Linked DNA regions of Rhinolophus ferrumequinum. The protein of the gene in region 2 interacts with the protein of the main gene of each other region in a pairwise test. Links are inferred from orthologs where the notes say so. Each region holds a gene or a part of one and is shown on either strand. Other genes may lie near its edges.

Region 1 (10,068 bases), about 48 Mb from region 2:
ATGAACTTTAGGGGGAAAAGTACATTGGGTAGATAAAAACAGTTCAAATAATTGAGAGAGTACTGTTCTTGGAAACACTTTATCATCAGCAACTGTAAGAACAGGAAACAAACAAGAAAGGAGCAATATAAGCACAACTACTTTGAAGGAAATCAGGATACTGCTGACACAAGTTAACTGTGGCTGTTTCCCATTTTTTTGTTCATAGACTTTGGAAATTAGAATGCGGAAATAATACTTTGCAATGCTATTTGTTAAAATAACCTAATGCAACAGGAATAACCTGATTTCTCAATAGACTTGTGGCAGTTGTGGCACGTTATTACTGATGTCAGGTATAAGTGGAGGTCACAGATAAAAATTCAGACTCACGTCAGTGAGGTTAAAAATCAAGGAGATAATGGATTTCCTCTTGACACACCTTCAGAAGGCAGGTGTAGTGATAAATTCAACCAAGAAGGGGTTTTCCCCATGCAGCTTAGCAATATAAGCAAAAATTAAACATTAAGATCATATTTAAAAATGTCTGAATTATAATTTCACATGGTAGTTTTACTATGTAGTTTAACACTACTGCTGGAATAGGTAACCACATCTATGCTGAAATCAATTACAACTGGCAGAAGGAAATGCCCAGGCAAGGCTTTCACTGCCCCATTTAAGTGAAAGGGACTTATCCTAAATATTTATGTTCACTTTTTTCTATGAGACTGGCAACACGGGTAGCACCACAGGAAAATAATTTAGGCCATCCTATGTATTTATGAAGATCACCAAAACACCCCTGGAAAAAAATTCTACATGCTTTCTTGAGAGCAAGGTTACGTAGGTTTTTAAGAATGAAATGACACAATGTCACCTTACAATAGCCATCAAAAGGACAAGAAATAACAAATGCTAGTGAGGATGTGGAGAAAAAGGAACCTTCCTGCACTGGTGGTGGGAATGTAAATTGGTGCAGCCACTATGGAAAACAGTTTCAAAGTTCCTCAAAAAATTAAAAATAGAACTACCACATGATCCCTGTAATTCCACTTCTGGGTATTTATCCAAAGGAAATGAAATCACTATTTTGAAAAGATACATGCACCCCATGTTTATTGCAGCATTATTTACAATAGCCAAGATATGGAAGCCACCTAAGCGTCCATCAGTGAATGAATGGTTAAAGAAAATGTGGTGTGTGTACAGACACACACACACACACATACACACACAAAGTGAAGTAAGTCAGACAGAGAAAGACAAATACTCTATGATCTCACTTATATATGGAATCTACAAAAAACCACAAAACTGAGCTCATAGATACAGAGAACATATTGGTGGATGATAGAGGCGGGGGGCAAACCGAGTGAAGGGGGTGAAAAGGTACCAATTTCCAGTTATTGTAAGTCCTGGAGATGTAATGTACAGCATGGTGACTATAGTTAATAATATTGTATTACATATTTGAACATTGCTAACATACAGCGTTGCTAAGATACAGGTCTTAAAAGTTTTCATCACAAGAAAAAAATTTTTTGTAACTATGTGTGGTGATGTCATTTCATATTTCATAATATATACAAATCTCGAATCATGTTGTACAGCTGAAACTAATAAAATGCTGCATGTCAATTATACCTCAATTTAAAAAATGAAATGAGATACTCTATCAGAAATGTTCAGACAAAATTCAAGAAAAATTACAATCGTGCTGACTTTTCTCAAAATTGTGAAAATAAAGCAAAGTATAATTATGCCACCTATAAAAGGTACATTTATTAACAGTAAGAACATACTGGAGATGCTCTGAGACCTTTAAAATGATTTAAGTCTAATAACTGATCTCTGACACTTTGTTGCAGAGTTACAAATATTATAATTTTGTAATATCGTCATATTATACTAGTATTCTGCTTTACATAAGCTTAACAAAATACCTTTTGATCCACTGTCAACCACGGTTAGTTTATTAGATCTGGCTAAATATACTACTTTTCTTAAATGCCTTCCTTCTCACTTCTTTTTACCAGCATTACTTCAGATGAAATGAAGAGAACTGCTTTCCCAAAGGATGCTTTTCATGTTTACTAACCATTTGTACATTCATCATCTCCGATGTACCAACCAATAATTTTATGAAGTATAAAACACTGGTGTTATTATCCTCATTTTATCTTATATATGAGGCAAATAACACTATATCCTGGTTCCCAGACCTAGACTGTTTCTAACACAGCACAGTATCTCCAGTTCACTGGCAACTTTATACAGAATAAGCCTGTAATGCCAGATTTGGTTACACTTAGCTTCAAAGCTGTAATGCCTACAGGTGATCTAGTTCAAGTTCTATGTTTGCAGAAGCGGACCTGTCATACTTCCTGTCTAAGCCCAACAATATTAGACTGCAACAGAGATTATGAAGACCAAGAATAGTTTAGAGAAAACGTAAAATGACAACTAAGGAGAAGATGTGTAAGATCATCAAGAAAACAGTCTGTAAGGTAACTAAATTGGGTAACTTCAGTTACAATTTTGAGGAATCGTACTCATTTACAAAACGAACACGTTTAATTTTAAAAAATTTAAAAAAAATTAAGCATTAGGAGAAATAGAGATCCTAATCAAAAACGATGAGGATGAAAAACCACTAAAATGCACCCACACTTCAACTACCTATATGGAAGGCGCTATGACTACCTAGATGAACATGACAAAAGCTATGCCCTCAAAGAACTCCCGGGACAGACAGACAAGGGAAGTTTCAAAGCAACGTAACAGACCCAAATAAAGTTTTCATTTAACATGAGCTGGGCTAATAGATCTCCAGTGGCATCAGATGCATCCAGGAAACCCAAATCATTTTTGCCCGTTATTTTGGCAAAAGGTAGTGCCTGAATCAACGCAGGAACCCGGCTTTTTCGCGTAAGAGATCTATAAAAGCCCTGATTACAAAAGCCGTTTCCGTGTTTTATTCTGAGGGTACGAGGCACATCAGAAGTCCAACCTCCTTTGTTCTACACCAAGACGGACGCCGGTCATAACAGGGGACCAACGTGGCCCAGTCACCGCACCCAGACCGGGTATGTGCGGGGGGGCCGAGAAGCGGGCAGGTTCCATTCCAAGCAAAACCACCACAAACGGAAAAGGGGGTGGATGGATAGGCGGGGGGGGGGGGGGGGGGACAAGGATGGTAAATGCAAACAGGAGCCGAGCCAAGGGCGGGGGCCTAAGCAGGGCGGGGATCCGGGAAGCGTCTCCCGGGCAGGTTCTATGGCGCCCCCTACAAAGGATAATCCTCTGGGCTTCCTTTCTCCCGCCGACCGCGGACACGAGACCCTCAGACGCCCGCCCCCAGGCCTGTTCCCCGCCCAGACCCGCTGTACCCAGTTTTCCCGAGCTGCACTCACCCCGGAGGAAGCCTTGGCCCCCTCGTCTTCTTCGCCCCTCCAGGCCTGCGACGTGGGGCTGACGGCCAGGTCGCAGAAAGTAGTAGCGCCGAGCGGAGCCCGCTCCCCTCGGACGGCAGTGGAGACCCGGGCCCGGTATCCCGATCACAGCTGCAACGGTAGCGGCGGCGGAGCAGCTGACCCGGATGCAGACAGCTGCCCGGGAGGAAGTGACTGCATCCCCACCGCCTACAGGCGCAGCAGCCGGCGGGGGCGGGGGCGTGGCGTCTCCTTGAAGCCCGACAGTCCCTCCCCCCCCAGCCGTCGCGGACCGCCGCCTGCGCATGCGCCTGAGCGGCCGCCCGAAATTCCCGCTTGACTGGCGGGAGCAGTTGACGCCTTCTTGGCGGCGCCTCTGACGCTGCAGGCGCTTCCTTGATCTGTGCTGACGCTCCCAGCGTCTCAAAGAGCGATTTTAATATTATTTATGTTGGCTTTATTGATTGCTACAATAACTGTATATTATAAAATGGATGAAATGAGGGGAGGAAAAATAGCTGAGGTCTCATTTTGGGGAACGAGACCTCAGAAGAATCCAGACTTTGGTAAAACTCGAGGGTGCACAACTTTGCTCTGCAATAGTGCTTCTCAAACTATATGTAGGCTGGAGCGATCGATTTATTGTTTAATAAAATTTTCAATGAGTCATGGACCATGGTTTGGTAAGATAGAAACATTAGAAACATTTTATCCTTAGAGTCTGTAGTCATCAAATTACCTGTAAAATTGTCATCAAGATTTCTAAATGCTAACTCAATTTCTGTACTGTTCTTACCGTAGACCAGTAACTAACAGTTCTCTGAAAGGCCCAAGTGTATGGATCATACTTTGAGCAGCAACCCTGCTCTACAACTTCAAGGAAATAAGATGACTTTGGAGAATATCATGATCCATCAGAAATCTCACCCACTAAATCCCTTCAAAGGAGCAGCAGTCAACTATTTGCATAAGGCATTCGGGAATGGGGCCTGAGAGGAACTGAAAACCTCAAAAATTTAAATCATTGACCCACAATGCAGCTCCCAGGTTTAATTGCTTTAACATTTACTCACTGTTGGCAGGTGGTTAAACTCTCTGTGTTTCATCTATAAAACAGGAAAAAAATAATATCTCATAGGGTTTTTGTGAGAGTCATATACATTAGATCAGTACTTGTCATATTGTAATCATAGATAATTATTATCTGCCTCCTAGAAATTTTGTTAAATAGCAGAGAAAACAAACAAAACTAATCAATTGATAAACAGCTTTCACTGAACAACTTCTTGGGCCTGTTCCTGTAAGCAATTTCACCTACAATTACAGATATTTCATAGTTGCATATTGTGCTTATTTCAGTCCTGCAATGGGTAGTATTCTCCACAGGGTGGCAGAAAATCATTGCAAATCATATACAGTGTAATCTTCAGTTTCTCATTTCAGAAACTTTATTGTTTAATAAGTTCGATCAGTGTTTGCTTTGGTTTTGAGTAAGCCATTCTGTTTGTCTTTTTATCCCCATCTCATGAATTATCTATACTTATTGTTGAAGCATTAGAAACTACAGATGAGGCAAAAAAGGTAACAGTATTAATATATTTATGTATATCGTTTCAGGATATACATAAATGTATTAATTTATATTAAATTAAAATAATTTGTATCTAACAGTTTAGGATCTAATTTTTTCTTTTCATTTCAAAATATACACTTTTTTCAGGTCAATAAGTATATTTCAACATCATTTTTAATATGGATAATTTATGTACTAACAATTACTTATAGAACATTTAGGTTGCTCCATTTTTTATAGTTAAAAGTTACACTTTATAGAATGTTTAAAAAGTCAGAAACAGAACTAATATTTTCAAACAATATACTAGTTAACATTTTCAAATAATATGCTCAATATATTTTCCTTCAACTTTTAGGTGAAATACCTTAAACGATAGGTCCAATTGTTAATCTGAAAAAGGTAGAAAAAGGATACTATTTACCCTGTGTTTCCAGATTTTTGGATAATCTTTACTGTATCTTTATAATCATTTGTTTTTTATATGTGCCTCCTTGAATAGGCAGACTTGAATACTTAGACTTAAAAATTCGGAAAATAATTCAGGAGGAAGAAGTGTGGCTTTCAGTCCCTGAGTAGAGGCATCAGTTGGAAAGTAATACATTAGCTCAGAGCCACCATCAACCTTATCCTTTGTGGTTTATGGCTTTGGTGTTATGTTTAAATCGGCCCTCCTCACCCTAAAATTATACAAGTAGTCATAGTTGTTTATAGTTCCATCTTTAAAAAAATATGAACACTAAATCCAACTGGAATTGTGTATAAATGCTTATTACATGAGGTAGGGAATCTGATTTTACTAAACTGATGACACAGTTTGCCTAACATCATTTATTGAATAATCCAGTAGTTCTTGAACTCATGGAGGTCTGCATCAAATGAATGTTTACCTTCAAAGTTGCTGTCTTAGGTCACCCACTTCATTCAAGTATCCATTCACAAACCTTTTGACAGACTTTTGCATCCATTCACAAGTCATCATTGGACAAACCTTTATTGAATAATATTGTGAGTCAATACCTTTCAGCTCTGATGTCACAAATAAAAACGTCACAATATCTACCTTCAAGGAACTCAGTGACTCGTCAGGAAGAGGGGCAAATGAAGACAGTGAACGATTTGGTGGATTGAGGTGAACTTGACACTTTAACTGGCAGTTAAATAGAAGGGAGCAAAATAGATTGGGGGTAGGTGGGAGGTGGGGTCAGTAAAGGAAGACTTTCTGAAGGAGGTGATCTTGAGCTTAACTTTTTCACTGCATTCATTGATTTCAAGTTTTTTTTTCAAAATGTGTCAAAAATCCACAAAAAATAAAAAGTCGATATTTTGACTATTTTATGCATTTAATAACATTTTGAGCTGCTTTGTACATAAACGACATTTTCATTTTAAACCTTTGTAATATGGTAATAAATTTACCATTGAATTTTAGCAAAAAATACTAAGTGGCATCAATTAAAGTATAGATAAATTAGAATCTAATGGCATTGATGACATAAAAAAATCTATTGCAATTACAATCTATTACAAAAATTTATTCTGTTAAACAATGTGGCATACAAAACATCTTTGTTGTTGATAGTGCAAGCCACAGGAAAATATCCAAACGTCACAGCAAAAGAGTTTACTAATAAGAGGAGGATCTTCCAAGCAAAGGCACTGACATGTACAAATACACAGTGGCTGCTAGGAACTGCCTTCTTCTTCCTGCCTGGAGCACAAGCAGTGGGACAATGAGTGGGTGTGAAAAACCAGCCACAAAAATAAGTAGCCGAAGGCCAGATTGAAAAAAGGATTATTTTAATGCCAAGGATTTATTCGGAGCCATTAAAATGAGCAACATGGGAAAGCAATCAATTATTACTTTATAATTGTGCTCCCAAAGAAGAGATTGAAACATGTCTTGTACAATGACAACATTATTAGGATAAGTCCTAAGAGAACAACTTTGACGGAACACTCATTTGAATATATGCTTTAGTGCGTGTGCTAAAATCACTCATGTTACTTTGTCATACTTCATACATCAAAACAAAAGCGTTCAGCCAAAATAGATCTGAAGAGGTGCTGAGTCTGTGCCTGCTCCCCATCCCACCCCAACTTGGACCAGAGGTATGATGAGAGATGAAGAAGACATTTGAGACAACACTAAGAAAATGCTTGCATAAATTCAAGTTCCAGAAGTCATAATGTACATTAGATAAAACTCTTGAATGCTGCTATACTCTTCACTGTATAATTTTATAGACAGATTATTATTTTTGCTTATGAGCATACAAATTCAGTGACGTTTGGCAGCTCAATTTCTGAAAAAATACGAAGTATCCTTTTTACATGGGCTGATGATGTCTTTGCTGGTTGAGCTTGAGGGTAAAACTGGATATAATTATATATTCATTTAATTATTCATAACTTGAATATGAGATGAACGTGTATATATTTTTCACTTATTCACTTTATAAAATTCAAAACTAAACCCAGCAGCAGTTTTGTCTTTGGCATGGTGACAAGTTTCTTTTCTACAATGAACAGGTAAAAGAAATGGTTCCAGACAGAATTTATTTTATGTGCTTCCCTATTTCAGAAAATCTAATTGGACTGCACTCAACTATTACACATCACTGTTGTGTGATGCTTCCACATTCCACAGAGTACACAGAGGGAAGCAGCAGCACATATTTGTACTGTGTTTCCCCCAAAATAAGACCGGGTCTTATATTAATTTTTGCTCCAAAAGACGCATTAGGGCTTATGTTCAGGGGATGTCATCCTGAAAAATCATGCTAGGGCTTATTTTCCAATTAGGTCTTATTTTCGGGGAAACACAGTAAGAAATATTTCCAGATGCAGTTAGATTATGGCCATTTAAGGGGAAAACTAGGCTTATTTGCTGGAGAATTTTAGTTCACAGGACTTGAAGGATTCAACTTGTTCAGGGAAATAGCTAGGCCATGGGTTGAAATCGTGTGAGAGCAACAGTTCAGATCTAGACACAGTCGTGAGGATGAGATGTACATTTTATCCAACACAAATTAGGAAAGACTAGTACTACCTTAGATCACTCATCAAAACTAATAGGATAAACAAATCTTAGGGTCCATATTCAAGTCCTCTGTGAAGATGTGTCTGTAATATCATAAAAGAAATGACAAATATGAATTTAAAACTACCTGAGGATATACATTTTATAATATAAAAGCATGAAATTTAGCAAAATCACACCAACGATTAGATTGGAGATCATGGTTATCATTTGGATAGAAGATGATGGACAGAGTTCCATTTACCCTGAAGAGGGGTCTTTGCAAAAATAATCGCTTATTAATTAATGTTTTGCAAAAGTACTGAGACATAAGTGGCTTATTACTAAATAAGCCAATTACTTATTACAATCACCATAATTGGCATATTACTAAAATAAAGATTAATTTTGAAGAGGGAAGTCGATTTCTCTCTTCTCCTTTAAGATATGAATTGTTGGTAGAAGTATATCCATCTATATTTAGAAACATACAAACAAGTAATAGCCTCCAATTAGAAAAAAGCAGAGTTTGATTGATTGATTGATGATGATTTTTACCAGTGATAATACTTTTTAAATTCTTTCTGAGCTGGATAAATAAAAGTGAGAATTGATCAACTAAGGTAAACTCTTCTGCAATCAATTATAGTCTCTACATCAATTAACACAAAATCAGATATAACACTGCCATTCACCAAAGCATTAATCATTTATTCTGCATCTTTAGAGTCAAAGCATAATTTTATTTGTTTCAAGAAAACAAATGCATTTAAAAATACACAAACAACTGTTGAGTCAATAGGGAATTTTATTCTATTTTACAAACAAGGTGCTAACATGGTTCTATGTGAGGCAAATGTATTTTTAATTAATAAAAATATAAAAATTAAAAGGTGATTATCATATATGTGTATTACATGTATATTATATGTGTGTGCGTTGTATGTATATTGCACATATATGTGTATTTTATGTATATTATACATATATGTATAATATATGTACACATATATGTAAAATTGTGAGATTGCCATTCCACCTGACAATGACCTTACCCAGGCATTATTTTAAAAACTTACAAAATTTTATCTTTTGTGTGTAGTGGGATATGAGAGAGTGTGGGGGTGAATTTGAATCAATAAGATGACTAATGCCTGAAATTACATTATTAGTCTTTCCTTAATTAGCTTATGACATTGATTCATGTTTAAATGCAATTCTTTTTCATAGAAGGGTTTAACACATAAACCTTATGCTAAAATGGAAGACTGGGGACTGGATTGGGATTAGGAGAGGCATTCTATTCCTTATTCTGCTATAGTTTCTGTGACCTTGGACAAGTTACCCATCTTCCCCAGACCTTCAGTTTCCTTGTCAGTAATTTATGAGGTACCAAAGACTCATTTTACTTAATTTAGCTTTTTGCCTAAAGCCGGGCTTATCATCTCCTTTTCTTAAATTTTAGGAATTCACTAAAATGTTATGTGGATGTTTAAGTACAAACGTCTGAAAATTACACGTTACATAATACTGTTTATCTTTTTTTTAAAACGACATAAAAAAGAAGACAATCCATATACATACATAAGTCTACGCCAATATGCAATATGCATATGCAATATGAATTCTCTAAGACTAGGAAACAGGCAACAGCAAATGAAGAAACAGATGGCAGTCCCAGGAAGTCTCAGGCATTGCCTTGAATTGATATTTTTTGTTTAAGGGCATTTCTGAAAATGAGGAGTTCTTTCAAAGTTTAGTTTATAAGATTGCTTCTTCTTATAATAGTTTTTGCTTCAGTTCTTTGGAGGAATAGAGGACACATGTTGAAATGAAATCACTTAAAACTTGTTCCTCTTTTGTCATTTTAATAATTCTTTTCGTGTTTTGACTATTAAAAATGTCATTCTCCAGCAAACCAATGTCTTGGCATAGTTATATGTATTTTTAAAGTATTAATAAAAATGCATACTATATTTTTAGGTTCTTATAGCAAGGGTATAATATATTTTCTAAAGGAGTCTCAGGGGCATCCTAAATAAGAGACCTTTTTATTAAAT
Region 2 (9,818 bases):
AGGGCTGAGGGCCCTTCCTGCAGGCAGGCAGCCAGATCTGCCTGGTCACGGGCCTGGCCTTCCCCCTGCACAGGTGACAGGCACAGAGGCTGCCCCATCGGCTGGGTGTCAGCTGCTCCTAGGGGGACCCTATAAGCCCACCTTCGGCGGGACTCCTGCTAACAGGTCCTCCTTTTCCTGGGCATTTTTGGAGTCGTGTGGTCCTGGCTGGGCCAACACAGAGGCGATTCCGGCGGAAGTGACCCTCTTGTCCCAAACATGATTGTGAATCCACCAGATCATATGGAGATTAAGAAATCTGAGAGAGAAAACAAGCATGAACAGTGTCCACAACTGCACTTTACACAGACAGGTGTGTCTGGCAGCTGGGGACTGGGGGAGGAAAGAGGAAGCCAGTTCAGAAGTGGGATGTGGGGCCCAGGCTGGTTTGGGTGAGCCACCCCAGCTTTGGTGTGGAAGTCCCTCCCACCTCCACCCCCGGGGGTGATGCCCAAGGGAACAGGGCCAGGTGAGCTTAGAAAGGCACCTGTAGAGAGGTCTGGGGCTGCCCCCACCTCCATTCCCATCCCCCATCATGCTGTGCATATTCCCAGGGTGCCCCCCCCCACAGTCAGCTAAGCCGAGCTTCGAGAGGCCTTCTCCTGGCCAGGGTGGGATCTAAGCGGGCTTGTGACCTGAGAGATAGAAGCCCAGTGAAGCCGGGGAGTTTACTGACGGTGGGAGGTGAGAGGCTCTTTCTTCTAGACAATGAGGTACAAAGATGTGATATGTGGAACCAAGCAGGCATTTCTGCTCCTACCGGTGTTTCCCCAAAAATAAGATCGGGTCTTAATTTTTGCTCCAAAAGACGCATTAGGGCTTATGTTCAGGGGATGTCATCCTGAAAAATCATGCTAGGGCTTATTTTCCAGTTAGGTCTTATTTTTGGAGAAACATGGTACACAGGGAGCCAGGCTGAGGTCTGAGCATGCCAGCCAGAGGCAAAGGTAAGAAGGCCCCAGGACATGGAGCCCCCACCATGGCAGGATCCAGGAGTGTTCGGGCACTGCAGGCAGAATTAGGAGGGGTAGGCGGATGAAGACCAGAATTCCTTCTGGACCTGTGAAATCCAGCAGCTGGGTGTCCACGGTTTCCTCCCTCATTCATTCACTCATTCATTCAGTTTAGCCTCCGTTGACTGAGAACCACCATATTCAAGAACCTGAGTCAGGTTTGGGGTCTGTGGGAACAAGGAGGGGCAGAAGATACCACAGGAATTAAGGGGGGTCTGTGCCCCCAAAGGCTCAGAGCAGTTGTGACAGGAGTCTGGCCTGACTGGATGGAGCCAACAACCTTGGAGAAAGTGGTAGGAGGCCGGAGGAGGTCACGCTCTGTGGAGGGAGCTCCTGGGGACGTGAGGTCAGGCGTCAGACAGGCTCCTGTCCATAGAGGGGCTTGCAGCCGGGGGCCAGGAGAAACCTGTGCTGCTGTGGGACAGACCTGGCACCTGCGTGGCTATTTTTGTGTAAAAACCGGAAGAAGCTCTCCATCTGCTGTTCTCAGGTGCCCCATAGCTTGTCCTTGAACAAGTCCACCCCCTTCTGGGATTGGCTGGCTCAGGTGAGAATCAGGGGTGGCCAACGTGCTGTGGCCACAGGGCCCAGCGTGCTGCAGGGGTGTAGTTACACAAGGGGAAGTGTTTGTCAGGACTCATCCATGGTAGCCTAACTGTGCATTTCACATTGCGTACGTTTTCCCTAGAAACAAATACTCAACTCCGTTAGTGATACGCATGCTAAAAGTGTTTAGGGGTGAAAGGGTGACGTGTGTGCAGAGCTTCAGTATATGGGGGGTAATGGGGGCAGGAACATAGCCCTATGATGGGGTCTGAGCAGCCCACCTGAGTTGTGACCCCCCGCCCCCATCTAATCTCCCTCTGCAGCCTGGAGTCCCCAATGTGCTGGAGCAGGGTCCAGAGTGGGGCTCCTGCACTGCCAGGCGATTGCTGATGGTGAGGACCCTGCATGCATGCATGCCCTCCCCACTCCTGCACAAATGCCCCTGGCCACCTACCACCAACCTGCCCGCACACACACCTCCCCCCCCACCCCACCACGAGGGGTTACTTGGGAGCTTCCCATCCATCCATGCATCCAGCTGTCCATTCAAATGGCATCTGATGCAGCCACTTTAAGTCCCCTTCCCCACTCCTGGTTTCACACTCTCCTTGCCCTGGCTCCTCATTCCCTGCCCCCTTGCTGACTCTCACCCTCTCTCACCTCCCGCCTGCTGCACTGGATGCAAGTAAGTTCATTGTACCCTGGGGAGGGTTGGGGATACCTGACTGATGTTTGCAACTTACTCTGAAATGCATCCAAAAGAAAAGAAAAGTAGAGAAAAGAAAAAGATGGATTCGTGGATAGAAAAAGGGTTGGAGAAATGGAGAGACAAGTGATAAAGCAAATAGGGCAAAATATTCATTGCAGAGTCTCAGGGGGGTACATGGGTGTTCACTGCACAACTTTTTTCTGTATGTTTGAATGTTTTCATAATAAAATATTGAGGGGGAGGAAATCTCCAATGCAGAAGACCAGATTTCCCTGACATGTCCCTGAGACCTGGCCCCCAGGTCCCATTGTTTATCTCCATCATAGTGTTTATCAAGCCACACTGACATGGTTTCAGTCACAGATGCTGTCACCCCCCCCCCCACCCCGCTCCTGGCACACCCTGCTTAGATAACCGCAGGAACAGGTCCAGTCTCTGCACTTTTTCTAACACATGTCATGGTTCCTTGCAAGGACGTGAAGTAAGAAATATTCTCCTGGGCACTGGGAGTAGTACCATCCCTAGCAGCTGGCTCTGGTCCAGGGCCACATTTGGAGCTCAACACGCCGTGTTAAATGTACAAAACACACACACAGCCAGATGGCTCTTTTTACAGCAGAGACTGCAGTCCCTCCCTGCCTGCCCTTGAGCTCAGTCCTCATCTGGAGACATCCTGGGTCCACAGATGGCTCTGTGACCTGGGCTGGACCCTTCAAGATGGCTTCCTTCAGGCCTGGTGCCCCCAGGGGACACTGGAAGGCGGGGCTCTCCATCAAGGAGCTGGCCTTCTTACATGGCAGCTCAGGGGTCCCAGAAGCACAAAAGGGAAAGCTTCCAGGCCCTCTTACAGTTGAAGCCTGGAACTGGACAGCCTGCCCCAGCTGTGTCTGGGGATCAGGCTGGCCCAGTGGGCCTGTGGGCGGGGCTAGGCAGGAATGCAGGGGACTCTGGCCAGTCCTGCTGGAGCCCAGCTTCACCAAGCAGGACCCAGGCCTCAATTCCCTGCAGCTAGAAATGTGTGAGAGAGACAGGGAGGGCTGGGCTTCTCCCTGGAGCTCTCCCACTTCCTCATCCCCCCTCTTCCACCTCAGAGGGGTGCTGTTTCCCCTTTGTCTGAGGGAGCAGTCAGTGGAGCTTAATGATGGCAGCTCACCCTGGACCTCTGATAAATGCCATTTTCAGAACTGAAGCAAGATACCAAACAGGGCATGACTTGCAGTGCAGAGCGAGGCAGGAGGAGCCCAGACTGGCCCTAAAGCCAGGCTCCTCTCTGGGCCCAGAGCAGCTGCCACTCATTGGTGAGCCTTGGCAGGCCGGTCAGTGCCCAGGCTGGGGGAGGGAGAGGGTTTGGGAGGGGCAAGCGTTCTGCAGGCACCAGACCTAGCTTCTCTCCTCCCTTCCTCCTCCCCCTTGCTTTTCCCCTTCCCCCCCTCCCCTCTTCTTCAGGAACTCATGACTGGGGCCACCCACTGGACTGCAGACCACTCCCCCCACCCCCCACCCCCGGCATGCAAGGGAAATTCCAGCATCCTTGTCTCCCACAGGGCTGCCCCTAACGCATCCACGGACATTGACAGTAAAAAGGTGACTGCTTTAAACAAGTGACAGCATCCCTCCACTTGCCACTTGAGACGAATGAGACTGTGGTTTGTTCCGTCCTTGTGGGGGCACTGCGCTTTTCTTCCTGCACTTCCTACCCAGGTCCCTCCCACCTGCCGTGTGATTGTCCCTCTTCCATGAGTCCTCTGATCCCTGAGGGACGACAGCTTCCCCCTCAGCACCTGACCCATGCTGCATTTTGATACCTAAAGCTGAGTTGATCCCTCTCTGGGACTCAGGAAGCAGCCTGGCACTTGCAGGGCCTCAGTGGCAGCATCTGTGAAATGGGGATGGTGGTGCCGCTGTTGGAGCTGCTGTGAGTATCAGAGGACTGAAAGTGACTGAGGACACACAGGGCAGCACGGGCGGGCGGCTGGAGTGGGCGTTTGCTAGACTCTGTGAGACCTGGGGATGGGTACACGGCAGCGTTTCCAGGTCCCGGAGGGGCGGAAGAGAGTGGATGAATTGGCCTTTGTTTCCCCCAATTCTCCAGACTCACCCCTGCCTGGAGAGTTGTGTCTGGAGTGCTGTCAGTTCACACCCTGTCCACCTGGCCTCGTCTGTCACTTCATCTTACCTTCATTCTCTGCATGGCACTGCAGGAGCAGGAATCTCACTAGCCCGTTTACCAACGAATCTTGGCTCTTAGCGTGGGGACCACTGCAGCTCAACAAATAAATACTTGTTGAGAGGATAAGAGAGCCAGATAAAGCCTAAATAGAGTGGCAGCAATGGGGACAGACGGCGTGGGCTAAAGCAATATTAGTGAGGTAGACTCTTGGCCACCCATGGGTGCAAAAGTACAACTGTGGTTAAAAAGGTTAAAGAAGAATTTGCAAAAACCGCAATTACTTTTGCACCAATTTAATAGCTTGGGGACAGTTGCTGAGCCCAGAGTCACAGAGGCAGAAAGGAGCCTCGTGCAGCCCGCTCTGCTCTTCCCCAGAGCACTTTGGTGACAGCTGCTGTGCGCAGCCTCCAGGTGGTTGTGGGGAGCAGGTGACATCCAAACTGGGGTGTGGCGGGATCACTAAGGGAGTGTGGAGGGGCTGACTCTGATTCACTGCCTCTCCCTGGGCCCAGTAACGCTGTGTCACCGCAGAGCTTCCCTTTTTCGCAGACCTTTGCATTTTTAAATGAAAGCAAAGTAACTGGACCTCCCGGTGCTTACTTCCCGGTCACTGCGTAATGGCAGGGTTAAACCTGCTGCGGGTGCGGGGTGATAACATCTGAAGAGGACAGTCGTTCAAAAGGAAGTCGGGGGTGGCGGACTGGCTCAGGAACCCCTCTGGTTAATAATGCCGTGGGGCCCTGCACTGAAGACCTCGGCAGGCACCTGGAGGAGGGGGTTCTCCCAAGCTGGGGCAGCCAAAGAAAGCTGAGCCCTGCCCACTGAATCAGCACGTCCCCCTGGCTGGCTGCTGAGTCAGGCCTGCAGAGCTGGCGGCAGCAGGATGAGGCCCGGCAGCGCTCTCTGACCTGGAAGCACTGCCCTTCAGGCCGGGCGGGAGGTCGTGGCCACTGGCGATGGCTGCTGTCGGGTGGGACAGCAGTGGGTGGCATCTCTGCTCGGCCAGGCACCAGCGGTCAGGCGGCCGTCCCTTCCCCTCCTACCCGCCTGAGGTGCAGTTCATGCCCTCGTGCTGAGGGGAGGGCCTGGGAAGTCCGCAGAGCTTTGATTCTGGGGGGCCAGGCTCTTGGAGGAGGGAGAGGGGCCCCTGGGCTTTGCCGAGCCCCTCGGGATCCTTCCTTAGAGGGCGGGAGGAAGCCCTCCCGGCGTTCTGGAAAGACTCAAAGGGGCACAGGACGCGTGAAGACAGGGCTCGGCACACAGCGCACGTTATTCCCGAGCTGTGAGAGCGGGAGCGGCCGCGCAGGGGAGGCAGGGCCGGCCCGTGCTCCCGCCGCAGTCCTTCCCCCTCGAGGGGAGGCCGCCACCGACCGGCGCCTCGCCCCTCTGCCCACCCGCGGCGGCGGGCCGGGTGACGTCACGGCGGCGCGCGGCATTGTGGGGCGGGGCGCGAGCTGGGGGAGGGACGCCGAGACGCCATTTTCGGCGGCGGGGCCAGAGCCGGCGGGGCGCGGGACGGCTGCTGCGCGAGGGAGCCGAGGGGACAGCGCGCGCGGGCGGCCGAGGATGCTGCGGGGCGGCAGCGCCGGCGCCCCTCGCTCGTGACCGCGGCGCCGCGCCTGAGGCGGCCGAGGCAGCGCACCCCGCGCTCTCCCGGTCCGCGCACGCGCCCGTGGCCTCCGGTGCTGACAGCGCGAGCGCGCGGCCCGCGGGAGCAGCACGGTGAGTGCGGCGGGCCTCGGGCCTCAGCCGTGTCCCCTCGGGCCGCTTTCCGCCGCGGGCCCCGTCCCCGTCCGCGTGCATTCCTTTCCATCCCCGTCCCCAGCCGCCGTCCCTCCAGGCCCGGGTCCGCCTCGTCCCCATCCCTCTGAGGTCCCGCAGCCCCGCCCCAGCATCCCTGGCTCGGCCCCGCTGCGGGCGTGGTGGCCGTTCCGGGAACAGCTGCGGCTCCGGAGCCGCGCGGGGGGCTGTGGCCGCCCCCGGGAACGCGGCGCGGCGGAGCGGGGGCGCCGGGAGGGGCGCCCGCTGGGCTTCGCTTTGTCCGAATCCTCCCTCTTCCTTCCGGCCGCCGCCCTCTCCGGCGGCGCCGCCCTGGGCGGACGCGCCTGTCAAGCTCGCGGGCGACGCGCGACCCGGCGGGTAGGAGGCGTGCGGGGTTCCCCGGAGAGGCCGGCGGAACCTCTCCTGCTCCGCGACCCTTGCGTTCACTAGGCAGACGCGAAACGGTTCATCCACGGTGTTCACCCGGGCCCGCGGGGCTCCTGCTAAACTTGCAGTAGCCCGGTCCTGGAATAGTTAGGCGGTGGTCAGATTTGGTGCAGCTCTTTCCTTAAAAATATTAAAATAAAGCATTAAAAAGGTAAAATTAACGCCTGGTGGATTGCATGGCCTCATAACTTGAACTTTGTAGATCCAGGTAGTTTTCTTAGAAATTTTGTGGTGTTGCTTATTGCTGTTTCGTTCTTCAAACAGCTCATTAAGACTACATATTAAGCGTTTGATAAGGAGTACTTGCAAAAGTCATTTTTTAAAAGTGTGTGAACAACAGAAAATTTGACATAAACCTTTTAAAATGTTGTGTAAAAGGGCAGTTGGTTCTTTGACTCTCTGCACGGACCCAGGGCTTTTTCCTTTAGCCATCGATCAGAGTCATTACCTCAAAATACATTGTAACAGTTCAGTGAGAAACCCATCGGGAAATTGGAACGACATCCTCAAGTCTCACAATCTTATTACAGTTCTGGATTTACCTATTTCAGGGACTGGCAACAAGGTCGGAGTGGGAAAATTGATTCATTGTTCTGAGTCCTAAGTATCTAAGAATACAATGATACTAAGCATTGCAAATTTCAGATTGTGGGGAACTAGTACACGTGGGAGGGCAGGTGCTCTGAAGAGCCGGTTCCTGCCACCGTCTAAGTGCAGCCTCATGTTGCAGTGGGCCTGGCGCCCTTTGCCCTGTGTTCCCCAGGGCTGTGGAAGACCCTGGCCGGTGACCTCCCCTTGCCTGGCAGTGTCTTCCCAAAGCACCGTGGACCTGGTAAAGGGAAAAGGATAAGCATGGGAGTCAGGACAGTGATTGTCTCCAGCAAGGAAATGCCACTGGGGGGGTGGGGAGGGGCACGTAATATCTTCACTATGCCACAGTAAATAAAACCTTGCCCACGGTGACTTAAAAATTGTACGTTCTTAAGCGTGTTTCATATGTGAAAAACAGGTAAGTCAATATGTAGCTTTTCATGTGGGGCTATAAACTGTCTCAAAATAATGGTGTACAAAGAATACCAGAAATAGAAAAGTAAAAGGTTCAATAAAATGTAGGATTTGTATAATCGGAAAACACGCGGAATATGGTAAGAAACCGGAACTTTATGTAATAAAGAAGTGTTAGTAACATCGTAAATGAAAGTACAGGAAAGTGTTAAATGTCAGATGGTTAGCATATTAAGATTGTGAAAACATGGTCTTAAACATGGTCTGTAGAGACCCAACTGAATGGCAGGTGATGTGCTAATTAGTAGCTGGTGATATGGAGATAGAGACAGTCGCTCCTTTAGGAGCTCACAGTGTGGAGGGAGGCCGGAAGTGGAGGAATGCCGCAGGTTAGGTTAGCTGGTGCCGAGTGCCCTGAGGACAGATTCCGAATGTGAGATGGGAAGAAAAATACAAATTGGCCAAATGACGGGTGGGGTTGGAAGTAGTGGCTCCGGAGGACGGTGGTGCTGCGTGGAGGGGCCTGCTGGGTGGGGGGAGAGGGGGAAGAGGAGATCGGAAAGGCTGTGAGAGTTTGCCTGGGGCGTCCCTGCGTCCTGCGCGGAGGAAGGAGGACGGGGGATTCTCGTAAGGAGTCCCGTGGCGTTTCGGAAAGAGCCGGGTGGTGCGGCAGGTGCTTTGAACTGAGAGGAGACTAGCTAGGAAAGCATTAACCCCAAGTGAGGACGGAGAGCTTCTGAGTTAGGGTAGTGCCAGTAGGACCAGAACAGATGGATTAGTGCCCTTGATTTGGGGCTGGGTAGATGGAAGGGTGGGGCTGCAGGGGGAAGAGAGTGATGGGTAGCGTTGGCAGCCAGAGCAAACTGCTAAACCTGAGTGGGGTCATGACGCCCTGCTGAAGTTTTTGCCAATGTCCGAGAAGCACCCCCGCCCGTCTCTCCCTCGTCTCCCTGCTCATCCCGTCTGCTCCTCGGGTTATCGGTGTGTCCACGCTTCCCCACGTGGTCCTTAGCCCTTCTCACGACCTATTACATGCATAATTTTCTTTTGTTCTTTTCTTATTTAGTTTATTGTCTGTCTCCTCCACTTACCTCCATAATCTCCACGAGGGTGGGGTGTTTACGGATCGTATTCATTCTTGGTGCTTGGCATGAAAGCACTTAATAAATGTGTATTGAAGGAATGCATCTGGAATGACTTGCTCTTCTCTAATATGGTGACTCACTGGCTGGTGACACCCACCAAGATGGGGAGCCTGGGAGGAGGAGGAGGACACTCAAGCTTGGTTTTGGGTTGGGTAAATCTATCCAAAACGTGCAGGTGGGCAGCTGGAGAGGCAGATCAGGCCCTCAAGACCAAGACTTAGGCTTGCAGGCAAAGATTTGAGAGACCTCATCATACTGTCAGTCGCTAGCCAGTCCCATGGTCTGTCACCCTCTCCTAAAGGGCTTCTGACTGGTAGAGACAACGAATGAGCCCTGGGAAATGAGGGAAGAGGAGTAGGTCAGTCTCAAAGTGGCCAAGAGGTTAAGGAAGAGTTGGAGAGAATAATGTAGTGGATTTGGCTTCCAGGAGGTTATTCACGCCCTACATTTTTCTTGAGACCATTACTTCTTAAGGAAGGAAGGGCTGATTCAGAGATGACCTGCATTCTTTCTCCAGTGCATCTGTGTCATTCTGCCCTGTAGCCTCTTGGTTCCTACACTGTTAGATCAAAAATTAGGTTTAGGATTTTATTTTTAACTAATTTTTGGAGGCAGATGAAAGCAATTTGGATCTGTGCTTTTGAATATACTTGGGATCTTACCTGTACTGGAATAAAGTCAGTATCAATAGGACAAGCATTTTAAGCTGAGTGATGTGCGTATGTAAAGTAGAAGTTATTTCCTTGGTTCTGAGTCAGAATTGTGGAGTAAGCAAAGCTGGTTGCTGGCACTCAAATACGCCTTTCTTTGCTTTGCTTATTTATTTATTTATTTATTTATTTATTTAAAGGAGGGCGCAACTCACAGTGGCCCGTGAGGGGATTGAACCAGCAACCTTGGTGTTACTAGCACCACGCTGTAACCAACTGAGCTAACCGGCCATCCTCCTTGGTTCTAAAATACCCTAGTTACTTCAGTTTTAC
Region 3 (9,673 bases), on a different chromosome or scaffold from region 2:
AGAAAGTTTTTAACAACCTAAAAATAAAAACCACAGACATTAAATTTAACTTAGAAATCCTATTTGGATGAACGAATGTGTATGCTGTCTATCTGCCACCACAGGCCCCAGAAGGTTCCTGCCCTGGTAGTTCCGGCCGAGCTGCAGGGCTGCAGGCCTCCGGACCAAAGCAGTATCTTCCTCACATGTTGCCTCTGGCTGGGGAGCACCTCTCTACTCTCCTACGCCTATTTTTTCCATTTTGGGGGGGAGACTTTGTTATATTTTTGGAGTCAGGCACAGCTACAATGGACCAATATTTGGAGGCAGGAAAGATGGCAGCTCCACCACCAAATCTCAATGGCTTTATCTAAAACAGTTTTTAAAAACTGCTCTTCATATTACAGTGTGGCAGAACACATCACATACCTTGTCCAAGAAGTGGGGAACTTACTAGAAAAACTTCTGATGCAATGTATTAATTTGCCTATGAAAAAAAGGCAAAACGATCATCTTTATGGAGCAAGATTGTGCCTTTTCTCCCCCTCCAGCTTGATCCTATCCAAATGCTCTTCTATGAAATGGAGTACTTTTATATAACTAGAAAACAACAGTTTGGGGTCAAACTTTCCTCCAGTCATGTGCTTTCCTGACACAGCACCAAATGCCACAGTGTCAGCAAATAACCTACATATATGTCTCTTCAACAACACATCCACTGGAGTTGCTTGTAGTGCGTTGGGTTGGGGACGGGGGGTGTTGCTAGCAGTTTCTTCAGGGCAAAGAAGATTTTAAGGCAAATGATGGCTACTAAAGTCACACCTTGTCTCGCAAACCTTATTTTTCCTTCCGTAAGTTAAGTGCTTGCTCACTGCAAGGAAGAGAGCTCTTTGCAGGCCAGGGAAACAGAGCGCATGGAGCCCTCCGCTTACTTCCCCCGTCAGGTTACCCTGGGCAACTCTACCGAGGGGCATCTATTAGCTCTCCAGCTAGCTCACTCAACTGCCCATTTCCAACCTTCTTTTCTAATGGGAAAGAACTTGGTGGATTTTAAAAGCTTTCAGCATTGCTAAGGCCTCTGTAGAAATGACAGAAGCCAGCTGTAGGTCCAATTACCTCTGCAAGCTTGAGCAGGACTCACCGGTCTCGCTTACCGACAGAACCTGCACCATCAGAGACTGAGACGCCCAGTGCTTGTCCACGAAAGCTGCCCCACAAATCCATTAAGGTGCTCCTCCCTGACTCCACAATTCTCCAGACAAACAACAGGCAGCAGTGGGACCTGGCACTTGAGATGAAAGCGACGTGCCCTGTCTGGCAACCCACTTGCTTTACAGAGGCGGCCACTGCAGCCAGAGAGGGGAAGACCGGCTGGCTGAGCATGCAGCTCCCAAGGGCAGGGCTGGTGGCACTCAAGCCTGCATCTGGGGACTCCAGGGCTTCGGCCCTCTCCCTGGACCCCAGTATCTCTAGCTACCATCACTCCTATGCAATGAGCCATCCCAGGACATAGAAGCCACCCCAGGATCAGAACATACTTGCAATCTCTTGCTGCGGTTTTTACGGGCAAAAGTAGAGGACAGGGTTGTTTGCTCTGCTCAAGCCTTTCAAAAAAAATCTGCAGGTTCTGTCTGCTCACAAGGCTGCTGGCAGCTCAGGTTACCCAGCTCTGACTAAGCCTTCCAGAGCACAGTGGCCGGGACACAGGAGCTACTCTGCAACACGAACATGCCTATAGCTTGTGACGTGCCTGCCAGCTCCTGTGTTATCAGATACATATCTGTGATCTCAATTCAGTGCACACTGGTCCTTTCCACAAAACTAAACATGCATGTCTGCTGGGTTTCATGAACGAGCTAGCGTGCCAAAATGGTGACAGGATGTGGCCCTTTTCTTTAATTATAACATCACTTGAGGTCTTTCCACGGGTGGACATCTAATCACATCTAATCAGAGCCTCGTTGCTGGCTGGCCAAGCATTTGTTTGCTTCATGGAAGCTCTGTGGAGCTGCTCCTAATAGCTCAGGCGACGGTGGGTCTCAGCCTCAGAGGAAGTCTCCTCCAAACCACACGCACCCCGGCACCCCTGCCCCCAGCTCAGTCCAGGGGAGTGTAGGTGGGAGGCCAGACGTACACTCGCTTGTGGCTGCACTTGAACTGCACAGAGCAGAGCAGAGACCGCATCCATGCAGAGCTAATTCTTAAGCTACAAGGTTACAATTCTTAGCCTCAAGAGTGTCCATCTTGGTTTTTCCCTTCTAGTTCCTTCTCATCCACTGTGTACAGACCACATAAGTGCAGATGAAAGAAAACAAACCTACTTGAAACCCCAGGCATCAAATGGCTACCGAAAGTGGTCAGAGAAGTGGAGGGCACTGCCCAACTAGGCAGGCAGCCATAGCCCCATGGGTGGGCGAGGGGAGCCCCAGCCTCCAGTCCTCTGGGGGTGCAGCTCTCTGACCTTCCACAGCAGCATGACACGGAAGGAAGAGCCGAGGCCAGAAGTCAGGGTAGACTGGGTCGTTACCTGGCTCTGCTGGCACGTGGGACCTTGGTCCAGGCCGCCCACCACATTCACGGAGCCAGTTCCTTCCCCAGTAAATGTCTAGGACCACACTGAACTCAAAAATCCTACGAGCTCTTGCATCCCCTTGAGAGCTTTAATTCAGTTTTGTTGGAGCTTGGCACCCCAATCAATAGACAACAGCTTCTTGACAGACACATAAAACCCAAAAGCAAAACAAATCACTCTAAGTAGGAATAATACAAGACCTTGTTAATCTTCATAAACATGCTTTAAACTGGGCTTAAGGCATAAACCACTCTGGTTCAGGAAAAAGGCGAAATACTGAAACAATCTTGGACTTCAGTGCTGAAGTCAAGAATGCATTCAGCCAAACTAACTGCAAAGGAATTTAGCTCATTTAATAAGAAACTTCCTATTCATAAATCAAAGAGCATCACCTAATGCCTGGAATAACAGAATGTCAGAGCTTAGAGAAAATCTAGAGCAAGTGACTCATTCAACTGATGGGAAATCAAAATGCAGAGCGGGCAGAAGACGTGGGCAAGGTCACAGAGGCAAAGCAGGGATGGGAACCCACGTCCCCTGAGTCCCCTTGGGTCTGGCACAGATTTAGTCAGCGCTAAGTATCTGATGATCAACGAACTTAAGTGGTATTCCCTACAATGCACAGTTCCTCTAACGGATTCACAAATAAGTGACTTCCAGGTTATAGAGATATCCTAGAACACAAATATTTCAAAATTCGACTTCCAGCTCCTCAGAAGCCAGACTGGAATTTCTCACCTTTTCCACAGAGAGCTAACAATCTCCCTTCCCAACTGAGGGAACTACAGGGCAAAGAAATCACCTCCAGAAACCTGGAGTCTTTCACCTGGTGCCAGCGGAGCAGCCGAACTAACTGTGGCTTTCGTTATGTGTTTACGCCAATTATCAAGTTGACCCATGTCACACACCTTCAAAACCTTGGAGTGGGGACAAGGAAGAGATCTCCTGACAACAGACCCTCTTCCCGCTGCAGAACCGTAAGATCAGAAATCCCTTTTCGGGGAGGGTTTAGAAATGCAGTAACCAGAGAGAGTAATTGGGGTCTAGGAAACTGGTTTGCAAAATATACACAAACGCAAAAAGAACTGGCGCCTGGAGTGAGAGGTGGGTATCGGAGAGGAGACCGAGGCCTGGCCAGAGGCTCGGGACTTTTTTAGGCTGCCAGTTCTCTGGGTGGCGCCTGGGGGTTCAGGGCTCCGGGCTCCGAGCCCCGGGCTGGAGCACCAGGCGAGGACGGAAAGGGGAGCCGGGCTCCGGGGATTTGGGGGCCGGGCGGGGCGGGGTTCCCGGGCGGGGCCGAGGGCGGGGCGGGGGGGCCCGGGCGGCGCGGGGCGGGGAGTCCGCGGTCCCCGGGCGGGTCCCCGCGCGGGTCCCCGCGCGGCCGGCCCACGCACCTCCTCGGCCTGCTTGCGCAGCGCCTTCTCGCGCTCGTACTGGGTGAGCAGCTGCTCGTTGTCCTCGCGCAGCAGCTCCAGCTCCACCTCATGCTCCTGGTTCTCGCTGAGCACCGAGTCCAGGTTCTCCAGCACGTTGACCACGAGCGGCATGAGCTCCTTGACCACCTCCTCATCGTAGCAGTGGATGAGGCGCTCGAACTCGCGGTAGATGGAGCCGGCCAGGCCCGACACTCGCTCCGACATCACCGAGCCGGAGCAGTAGTCGTCCTGATACACCACCACGCCGCCGCCCTCGTCCATCTGGATCTCCATCATCGCGGCCACCGCCGCCGCCAGCGCGGCTCGCTGTCTGCCGGCGCGTCCGCCCCGGCTGCCCGTCGCCCGCGGCCCGTGGCCTCCGCTGCAGCCGCTGTCGCCTCAGGGCTCAGCCGCCGCCGTTGCTGCTGGTCCTGATGCTGCGCCCGTCACTCAGCGGCCGGAAGTCCCGCCCGCCGGCCAGAGGGGGTGGTGCCCGCCGGTCTCGCCGCGGCCTCGCAGCGCCGCGCCACTAGGGGTCGCAGGGGCCGTGACGTACGAGGAAGGTGGTCTCTGGGCCGGAAGCTCGGCCGAGCCGGGCAGGGTGCACTTCCGGTCAGGCTTGTCCGCGCTGCGAGCCGCTAGCGCCTGTCGCCTTAATCGCGTTCCCCTGCAGCTCCCAGACGCCGGCTCACTTTCAAAGTGACTTAGCATCTGTCCCAAGAGCATCTATAGACGGTTGCGTGCGGTTTAAAGACTTAAACGAGCATCCGTGCACCCATCCTCCCTTACTGAGAAACGGACATTCTTTCTGTGCACCCCTCGAGGTGGTGATGGTGCTGACCTGGTTGATTTCCCTTCAGTTTTACTACACAGTAGTGCACCCTCCACACAGGGAGCACTCCAGCTCTTCAAACAGTGGCTCTACGATTCACTGTCCCTCCAGGGGTTCCTGTCACGTGCAAGCTGTCCGTCTCATCCTAAAATCCAGGAACAAGCTTTCACTTAGTCCGCTTCGATGTCCTGCGTTCTGTGTCACTTCCCTCGATTTCCCAGTTTCACTTCAGCTGTGTGTTAGCTGTTTACCTCATCCACTGAGTTTTAAATTTCAACGGTTGTATGTTACATTTCTATTTGTCCTATTTGATTTTCTGAAAGCATGAACCCAAGACTTCAACTTTCAGCTTGGAGGCCACACTGGTAGTGTGAAATTCTAATTTTTTTTAAAAAAAAGCCCATTAGTGACAGCTTCACGCTAACAGAAATGCTCTCACCCCTGCCTTTCACCTAACAAAATGCTTCGAGGTCAGTTCATCCTAAGATCCTCTCATCCTACTCTGATTGCACCCAGTCAGTGAACTTGCCCTAAACGCTAGCACACACGTTTTCCCCTTACAGCCTAATTTGCTCACCCTAATTTGCTAACTAAAAGGTAAAGTGAAGTTTCAGTCTGATTCAGACTGCCTGGGTTTTGATCCTAGCTACTAAGTACATTAATGATCCTAAATTTCCATTTCCAAACCGTAAAACTGAGCCTAAAAACATTACCAACTTACTCTGAATGTTATAAACTAATCCATGAAAGGGGCTTAGAAACGTCTCTTGCAAACGGGAAGCACGTGATAAATGTTATGTAGAATTGTTCAATATCCTCAAAATGAGCCAGGACAAACAGGTGAAATGTTTTCTTGCTGGTGAGCAAGTTACAGAGAAAGTTTGAGAATGTTTTGAGGAATGTTTAAAGACTTCAGCCTTCGGCCTTTTTCAGCAATTTGACCTCTGGCAGCTGCCAGTACCCCAATGAGAAGCCAACTGAGTTGGCCATCAACTTTATGTTTTTATTACTAACGTGGTTAGACTGATTTGTTCCTTGCGATTGGTTAAATCAAAATGAAGTTTTAAGATGATATGCTGGATAATTGTTGATGCTTACTGTCGTGGCACGGAATTAACCCCTGGTCGTTCGCAAAAGGTGAAAGCAGTCCCAGACTCTACAAAGGAAGTTTTTATTAAAGTTAGTGCAGAGAGAATGCCCATGGCAGTGTCCAAAGATGACAGCTGCCTTGGAAGGAAAGAAACACGGGAGTGGGAGTCGCCGCGACAGAGTCCAGAGTCTTAGAGTAGATAGCTATACCAACCTCAGGTTAGCTTTTTCTATATAGGAAAGGGGGAGTCTGGTAGGTTTTAGGGCTGACATCCTTCCTGGGGCCTAGTCTGTTTGAAGACGATGTTATCTCCGGACTCTGGACTCGAACTCGGCCACTGAGGCCTGACACTTTAATGCGTAACCAGTAAAAACTGCAAGAAGTTGTAAATAGGATTCCAGCGTCCGGGCGCCTGAGGATTAAGAAATTGCTCTTTCCCGGATTAGGATATTCATTTACGAGGTAGGGTAGTCTTCAGCAAGGGAACAGAGTTCTTCAGTTAATCAGTGAGGGGAGAAATGAAAACATGAGTATCGGGATAGCTCAAACTGCAAACTAAGTCTAATTACAGGTGGCTAGATAGCAAGCTATGCAGTGAGTTAAACTACAAACCAGCTAAGTCTAACTGCGTTATTGATTCCCTGAATTTCGCCCTTATACTTACTTTAGAATGCAACTAGAACACTCCCGAGAATTGAAACTAACTGAATTAGAACTTACTTCTTAATAGGCTTCCTTTTAGATTTGTAAAGATAATTTGGAATACAACTTTGTTTTTCTCACTACAAGACTCTAAAATGTAAGATGGGCACACAGGTTTGAAAAGTTCTACTTTGATTTCTAAGCATCTGCCTCTAATCCCTGCTAAAGTCACTGAGGTCCCTGTAATGTCCCTCACTTCTTCCTAATGTTTAATTTTAGATAGCACTTTTTAGTCACACATGAAAGAGGAATATTTCATTCTTAATCTCTAAGAATGCTTCAAGATTAAGAACGTAGTGCGTTCAGAAGAAATGAACTGGGTAACACAGGAGGTATACACACCCTTAAAGGTTTGATTGCCAAAGATAATAGAACAAGCTATGCCCTGTCAAAAGAGCCAGTGTTATTTCTGAACAAGGCACAGGACTTGAAGTGGCAATCACTGATGTGCTTCACCCCCACCCCCACCACAACACAGATGGAACTACCTTAGTCCTTTCAGACTTAGCCATTGCCTCACCTCTGGAGACAAACAGCTTGTGACACTACCTCAGTGCTAACCTGCAGCTGGAGTGGCTGCTACAAATAGGTAATGTAATGCTGCCAGAGCCTAATCCAGTTCTTGGAACAAGCTCTGCACTCCCGAAACATGTTTTCAGATGAACAAATGGAGACTGTGTTGGGAACCTCATGTTGGGTTTCTTTCTGAAGTGCTGTCCTGGTAGTCGGCCCCGATTCAGCAGGCAGAATAGTGGAGCCTCTTATAGGGGAACTCTCCAGGTGGGAAGCCTGAGGTTTCAGCCTCCTGAACCCACATCATATGTACATTATGTTTGCTTGTAGGGCATAGGAAAATAACTGTAAGAAGGAAAGATGTTCAATCTGCTTTCTCTGCAGGGCTTGAACCTACAAGCAAATGCTAATAGCTCAGCACCTCATCTATTTATTACAAGGCTTGTCACTGGAGCATTTCAAAGCCAACTCAGAGGCAAGTTCAATACTTTCAGTTCTTTAAGGGAAAAAGTGGTGGAAGAGAAAAAAAATCTTTAACTTATAGAAACTGTAAAGAACACTTGCATATTCCCGCTCATTCTACTCAAAGCTAAGTCTTTGGTTTTCAAATGAAAAAAATCTAAGTCTATAGTCTTTGAGATTAATTTGGGCATCCTCTGGCTAAATGGGGGAAGAAAAAAAAGGCAAACCCCTTCATCAATGAAGGAGCAGAGGTCAGGCACTCTGGAGAATAGATGTTGAGGAAAGCGCAGGTACACACACACTAGGCAAAGATGCTGAGTACCTGATTGCTAAGTTTTATTCAACTGTTATACCCAATTCCACCTTGTAAAAGTAACAAAGTCTTCCTATCAAAATTACATTGTGAGGTGAGTACAGCTTTCTTGTTGTTTTTGATACAGCCCTAGAAAAAAAGTTGGCACCAAATGCACATAAAAAGTTTTTCAGGCTTAATAAAAATACAGACTGGTAATTTCTCAATGCGGCTTAGAGGTTGGGAGCAGGATGCTAAAAGTTAACAAATCTTCCAAATACAGGTGACCACCCCTACCGGGGCTCATGTGAGCACAAACTTGTCTTCTGCCTCTCACGGTGACCAGACCACCCAGGCACTCTAAACGCACTGCTGCAGCCCCAGGAAGGAAAAGGGGGGGAAGATGGGGAGAAACAGAAGGCAGGGAATTGTCACTGCTGCCCAGAGGCTCTTCCTATAGCGCGTTTCCCTCACTCCACCAGGCCTCTCTTCCCATCGCTGCATTCCCCCATCTCCACCCCAGAAATCGCTGCCAGTGGACACAACTAGAGTCTCTCATTCCGCCGACAGTGAGGGTCGGGGTGAAACCCCAAGGGCCAGCACCAGTGTCAGGATTCTTTCTGGCAACCCAATTTGGAATCCACAAATCACTCTCTTGTATTAAAAAATAAGAGTTATAAATTGCAGTTCATTTCCACCATTGGAACATTTCATTATAAGTTAAACTAGTGTGTTTGCGCTTAAAAGCTCACTGCCATTTATGACATTTTGAAATGGGGGAACAAATACTCCGAATTCCAAACAATATTCTTATAAACGACCATTTGAAGGATGGAGACAGGAAGTACTTGACAAAGTCACATGGAGTGAGTGTTTCTTGGCTCCAAAGACAGCAGGGCAACTGAAAGGAGGGAAGACTCTTTGGTTGACAAAGCCACATGCGGATGCCCTCAAGAAGTGGGGCTGTAAGAAGTGGGGCTTGGCAGGCGGCTCGTGCAGGCACTTAAGTGTGTCGCCCGGCCACTGTGAATGTAACTGAACAGTTGTTGCTTTTCTCAATTTTAATAACGACGAAGACAGTTCTAGCACCTGGCATTATTAGCTCTGTAGGCACTTTTAACAGCCACCACCACACGAGTGAATAGACTAGCCCTTAGGAGGCTGAAAGGGGGAAACGTCTGCCTGACAGATTAAAGCAACACGACTCTTGCCAACCCATTATCTTTTTTTTGGGCAAATATGGAATTGGCCAGTTGAGGTTTTGCAGCCAAACTAGTTATTCTCCTGGCCTAAGGTCTCTAAGTCTCTCCTGGAAACTGTGAATGTGGTCCAGAGGTTCTGCAAAGCTTTATAAAGGGCGGCCTCAGCAAACTTTTCTTCTTTGGTGTACATGAGTGACTGGCTTTTTTTTAGAAAGGTGTCAGAAACAGACCAAAGTCAATAGTCCCTTCTGTAAAGCCGGTGTTTTAGAATAGCTCTTTAGGTATTATTAAAGAATTCACACCTACGAACCCAAGGCTCTCAAGCATCTTTTCCCCAATGTCAACAGGAACAAAGTAAGACAAATGAAGGACTGAAATAACCCTATTACCTGGATGTACCTGGGCCTTGCAGATAAAGGAACCGTCCATATTATTGCTGAACAGCACAGGCCAAGACTTAAAAAGGACGAGAGGAAAAAAGGAACCATTCACAATCAAAACCGGTCTGTGAAGAGACCAAGTCCAGTCCCTGCGAGTGAAAGTCAGATTCCTATCAGAGGATCGGGGGATGAACTCTCCCTATAAAGCATAAGACTGAGAACTTTTTGGGTTTT

What was found.
Region 1: the proteins of KLC1 (region 2) and BNIP2 interact in binary tests that used the Homo sapiens proteins (3 or more experiments, as listed by UniProt). The two-hybrid records come from large-scale screens. The link is inferred for Rhinolophus ferrumequinum from reciprocal best matches to the Homo sapiens genes KLC1 and BNIP2.
Region 3: the proteins of KLC1 (region 2) and MAPK8IP3 interact in binary tests that used the Homo sapiens proteins (3 or more experiments, as listed by UniProt). The link is inferred for Rhinolophus ferrumequinum from reciprocal best matches to the Homo sapiens genes KLC1 and MAPK8IP3.

The regions. Positions count from the first base shown.
Region 1 is NC_046289.1:50,124,213-50,134,280, reverse strand, and holds the start of BNIP2 (BCL2/adenovirus E1B 19 kDa protein-interacting protein 2), read right to left. Parts: upstream 3,671-10,068; 5' UTR 3,396-3,670; intron 1-3,395.
Region 2 is NC_046289.1:1,652,022-1,661,839, reverse strand, and holds the start of KLC1 (kinesin light chain 1), read left to right. Parts: upstream 1-5,443; 5' UTR 5,444-5,529; intron 5,530-6,002; exon of another isoform or gene 6,003-6,199; intron 6,200-9,702; exon of another isoform or gene 9,703-9,776; intron 9,777-9,818. UniProt on the Homo sapiens protein: Kinesin is a microtubule-associated force-producing protein that may play a role in organelle transport. The light chain may function in coupling of cargo to the heavy chain or in the modulation of its ATPase activity.
Region 3 is NW_022680357.1:3,489,465-3,499,137, reverse strand, and holds the start of MAPK8IP3 (C-Jun-amino-terminal kinase-interacting protein 3), read right to left. Parts: upstream 4,392-9,673; 5' UTR 4,264-4,391; coding exon 3,946-4,263; intron 1-3,945.